2 linked regions of the Kluyveromyces lactis genome follow. Each later gene encodes a partner of the first gene's protein in a complex. Links are inferred from orthologs where the notes say so. Each region holds a gene or a part of one and is shown on either strand. Other genes may lie near its edges.

Region 1 (2,343 bases):
TTTTACGCTCATTCAACGATAAGGAAGTTAATTGGATTTCAGGTTCATTCAAGTCAAGCTCTCTGTCGCCGCCTTCGTACGGATCTTGCTGAGCTGGTATATATTCATCATCGTGAATGACGTTATCAAAATCATCATCATTATCGTACCAATTTCTATCTTGTGCAGTAAAATCCTTGGCGTCCTTTATATCTTCCACATCACTACCTTCTGCATCGATAAGTGTGCCTTTGGTCGCTTCTTCTTTTTTTACCATGACCACTGGTTCAGTGTTTTCTGAAAACTCATTCAATTTTGCTGCAGTTTGCTTCGTAATACGTTTCAAAGTCAAAGGCTTGTTGAATTTTGGTTTCACTTGTACCTTCACAGTAGAAAGCTCATCTTCATCGTCGTCTTCCTTGTCATCCAACGGAAGTTTAACCACAAATTTTTTCCTTATGGTTCTTGCTGGAACAGCCGCTGATTCTGGCTTTGGAGACTGCTTATGTGCCTGTAATTTTTCAAAAAGTTGCTTCAAAAACTCATCTTTGCCCTTAAATTTCCCCAAAGCCTTAGCACCCCCGATGAACTTGTTTACATCCTTATGAATACGTGCAATCTGCCTTAAAGTCTCAACAAACTTCTCTGTCACTCTTGATTCCGTATTCTGTTGAATCCATTCTTGAAGTTCTGCATTCATCTAATTCTGTTGCTTGGTAAACCTACCACCTGGCGTAAAACCTGATGAGACAGAGCTGCTAATGAAGTATCACAAGGACTGTTTATGCCATTATTCTTGTCCCATCTCATAGCCTTTCAGCTCTTCCTGTTGTGAATAGGAACGACATTTGATGTTGATGTTGGGATTACCCGGCTTTCACGTGACAAAAGATACAGAATAGTCCAAATTGGCACTTCTAAAAGCTGCATAATATCGCCAATATAAGCCCTATTTTAACAGGTCAGCTCACACTCATTCATAGTACTAATCGATATTATATAGAAGCATCTTCAGGTAGGTATATCCACTAGAATAATCCTATATTTCTCGAAATAAACTGTTTTCCCATACTAATCCTGTCTGTCTCATCAGGATTTCTATCTGAAAAATTTGAAAGCATCAAACTGAAAGATTTAGAGTCTGCAGTGCGAAACATGGTGATTGATAGTTTAAATAACAAGTTTTAGACCCTTACACCAGGCTTATAATCCCCAATTACGCTGTAGAAATTACATTTGACATATTCGCTACAGTATGGTGAGACTATTTTCGACCAGCGCCCGTGCGGCCAAGGATCTTTCAAAGATAATTGATAAATCAGGTAAGTTACCTAAGATCGTTGGACCAGCTACCATTTACAATCCAAAATCATCTGCCTCCAATTACAAAGGTTATTTGAAAGCCAAGATTCCAGCAGGTCTATATTACGATCCAGCTCCATCCTCTATCCATGGTTCTACTAACTCAGAAACGATTCCAAAATCTTTCTTACCGGCCACTGATCCAAGGCACGACATTATAGATGACCTAACGCAAGGTAACGCAGAGATATCGAGGGTAGCGCCAGTGTTACATGAGAAGGGTGAGAAGACCTACCATTTGAAGCCTGAAGACATCGCTGAGATTAGAAGACTAAGACTGGAGGACCCGGTGAAAAACTCTAGAAAAGCTTTAGCAAAGAAGTTCAACTGTTCTCCGTTGTTCATCTCTATTGTTTCTGAACCACCCAAGGAAAGAAAGACAGAAATGAATCAAGTTCTTGAGACGATAAAGAGCCAATGGCATCCTAAGAGAGCATTGGCCAGAGCCGAAAGAAAAAAGAGAAAGGAACTCTGGTACAGAGCATGAGAAAAGGTAAAAGAAAACAACATACTGTATATCTGTAAATAGTAATAAGATAACCATCGACCTTATGTTTCAATCGTTAGTCATCAACTCTATTAAATGGCTTATAACATCTATATATATGCATGTAATATAATACAATGGAAGACGTGCAAAAATTAGTGTCTATCTCAATAAGTTACAGCTGGGGTCATTATCGTTAGGAAAAAATGATACATTAGTACCACTAATACCCATCGTACATCTCTTGGAAAATTTCGTACTCATCTCGGATTCTCAGGATTATATCTTCGAATAACTGCATCTGATACGCATCTTTTATTTGTAGTTCCAATGCAATCTGATGCCTATGCTGTCCCTCGCACAACATTGCTATCTGATACCATTTCTCCCTCCGCTGCAATACCGTATGCAGCTCCTTCAGATTCGATATCACCTGCGTCTCACAGAACAACCTCTCGTCGCTGTTTATATCCTCTTTATCAACTCCGTCCTCTTTATCCGAAACGAATCGAAAC
Region 2 (2,225 bases), on another chromosome or scaffold:
GAAGTTTGAGATCGAAATGTCACGTCCAGAAGATTTGGCACCACCAGAAGTGTTTTACAATGACAGTGAATCTAAGAAGTATAGTGGCTCCACAAGAGTGCAACATATTCAAGCTAAAATGACACTTCGGGCCTTAGAACTTCTCAACCTGCCACATACATCATATATCTTGGATATTGGGTGTGGGTCTGGTTTAAGTGGTGAAATCATCACTGAAGAAGGACATATATGGTGTGGATTAGACATTTCTCCTAGTATGTTAGCTGAAGCGCTAGAAAGAGAAGTTGAAGGTGATCTTATGTTACACGATATAGGTCAAGGTATTCCATTTAGAGCAGGTGTATTTGATGCGGCAATTAGTATATCTGTGATTCAATGGTTATGTAATGCGGACACATCGTACAACGATCCAAAGAGAAGGCTCATGAGGTTCTTCAATACACTATTTGCTAGTTTGAAGAAAGGAGGAAAATTTGTAGCACAATTCTATCCAAAGAATGATGATCAAATAGACCAAATCTTGGGAGCAGCAAAAGTAGCTGGATTCTCTGGTGGCCTTGTCATTGATGATCCCGAGTCCAAAAAGAACAAGAAGTACTACTTGGTATTAAGCTCCGGATCTACAGAACAGAATGAACAAGTCAACTTGGATGGTGTTAAGATGGATGCAGATCTAATGGTAAAGAGAGAGCGTAAAAAGAAACTAGTTGAATCAAGTAAGGATTACATCAACAGAAAGAAGGAGGTGATGAAAAAAAGAGGTAGAAAGGTAGCTCTCGACTCGAAGTTTACGGGTAGAAAGAGAAGACCTAGGTTTTAGTATGGTCTTGCATATATAGAATTAGTAGATACGCACTTAATACAATCAGCAAACATGGACTGAAACGTTATCATTCATTCACCATTTTCCGTGTCTATTGCATCTGCCATGATCAAAACGTTTAAAATGATCATCAAACCTATGTTGTAGTTTTCCATAGAAAGAACATTCGAAAATTTTGGTTAAAAAAGATGGAAACATAAGTACCTAAGAGTTAAGAAAGCACTGAAGCGCAGTTTATATTTGAGTTTAAGCCTTTACTACCCGTCAGATCAAGTTCCCATTCCAAAACTATATTAGTCCCATACAATGTTAAAGAGACTACTACCTACCGTTATCAGACAATCTGTTAGAAGTTATCAACTTCCAGCTAAGAGTGGAAGAAAGATTATTCCAGTTTACCCACCAGTTGAAAGAATATCCTCCCCATTAGTAGTGAAGACTCTAGCTGATCATGATCTAAAACAACTTGACCCAACTGGTGTAAAAACAGAGATGGTTTCAAAGAAAAACCCAAATCGTCTACGTGCAGGTGATGTTCTTCGTGTAGTTTACGATTCCAAGAAATGCAACTACGATAGTTTTACTGGATATGTGCTATCGGTAGACCGTAAGCCAATAGTACAAGACACATCCATTCTATTAAGAGATTATATTTATAAAACCTGTGTGGAAATGAGAGTGCCAATCTTCTCACCATTGGTAGAGAGAATTGATTTGATTAGAAGAGCGGATGGTAAGAGACGCAGAAGTAAACATTATTACATCAGAAACACCAGATTGGATGTCGGAGATTTGGAAGCAAGTATGAGAAAGAAGAAATGAGCACATTCACACTATCAAACACTTGCTGAATTTTCATAAAATGAAACATGTACATAGAAGCAATTCAAACATATAGTAAGTAATGCTCGATATCAATGCAAACCCAAAGACAAGGAAGATTCAAAGTTGAAAGAGCTCCAGAGTTGAACCATAATGCAAGGTACTCTATGCAGGTCCAGCTTCTCTAGGTAAAGTTATTTGTATCATTAGCATGTCGGGTGGATATATAATTGTATAATCTGTAAAATAAAAAGGCGGATTATGCTAGTCCTTATACCTCATCAAGTGCATCCAATAAGAAAGGAAAATCATGAGAAAGGATAAGCATAAGAAAGGATTTGTACGCTCTATCTAAAACAAAGCTGCATTGAGTGAGCAAGTTGCTCTATTAGAAATGAAAAGATTACAAGCAATTTTGGTCCGCATTTTTGATAATTTATGAAGGTTCTTGATTGGTTCAAAAAAGTAGTGGTATAATGTTATGAAAGCCGTACCAGCCGTCTCTATTGAAAAAAAATTGAAATAAGCTGACATTAAAAAACAACCATAACAGGTAAGGCAGCACGCCCGCATTTTTGAT

The links. Proteins that work in one complex are often made in the same cells at the same time.
Region 2: MRPL20 (region 1) and IMG1 share a complex: the UniProt entries of both Saccharomyces cerevisiae proteins name them as parts of the mitochondrial large ribosomal subunit. The link is inferred for Kluyveromyces lactis from reciprocal best matches to the Saccharomyces cerevisiae genes MRPL20 and IMG1.

Annotation. Positions count from the first base shown.
Region 1 is NC_006037.1:691,372-693,714, forward strand, and holds MRPL20 (mitochondrial 54S ribosomal protein mL58), read left to right. Parts: upstream 1-1,234; coding exon 1,235-1,828; downstream 1,829-2,343. Other genes in the region: DEAH-box RNA helicase PRP16, read right to left, coding at 1-679; KLLA0_A07777g (uncharacterized protein), read right to left, coding at 2,052-2,343. UniProt on the Saccharomyces cerevisiae protein: Component of the mitochondrial ribosome (mitoribosome), a dedicated translation machinery responsible for the synthesis of mitochondrial genome-encoded proteins, including at least some of the essential transmembrane subunits of the mitochondrial respiratory chain.
Region 2 is NC_006042.1:571,880-574,104, forward strand, and holds IMG1 (mitochondrial 54S ribosomal protein bL19m), read left to right. Parts: upstream 1-1,129; coding exon 1,130-1,645; downstream 1,646-2,225. Other genes in the region: BUD23 (18S rRNA (guanine1575-N7)-methyltransferase), read left to right, coding at 17-820. UniProt on the Saccharomyces cerevisiae protein: Component of the mitochondrial ribosome (mitoribosome), a dedicated translation machinery responsible for the synthesis of mitochondrial genome-encoded proteins, including at least some of the essential transmembrane subunits of the mitochondrial respiratory chain.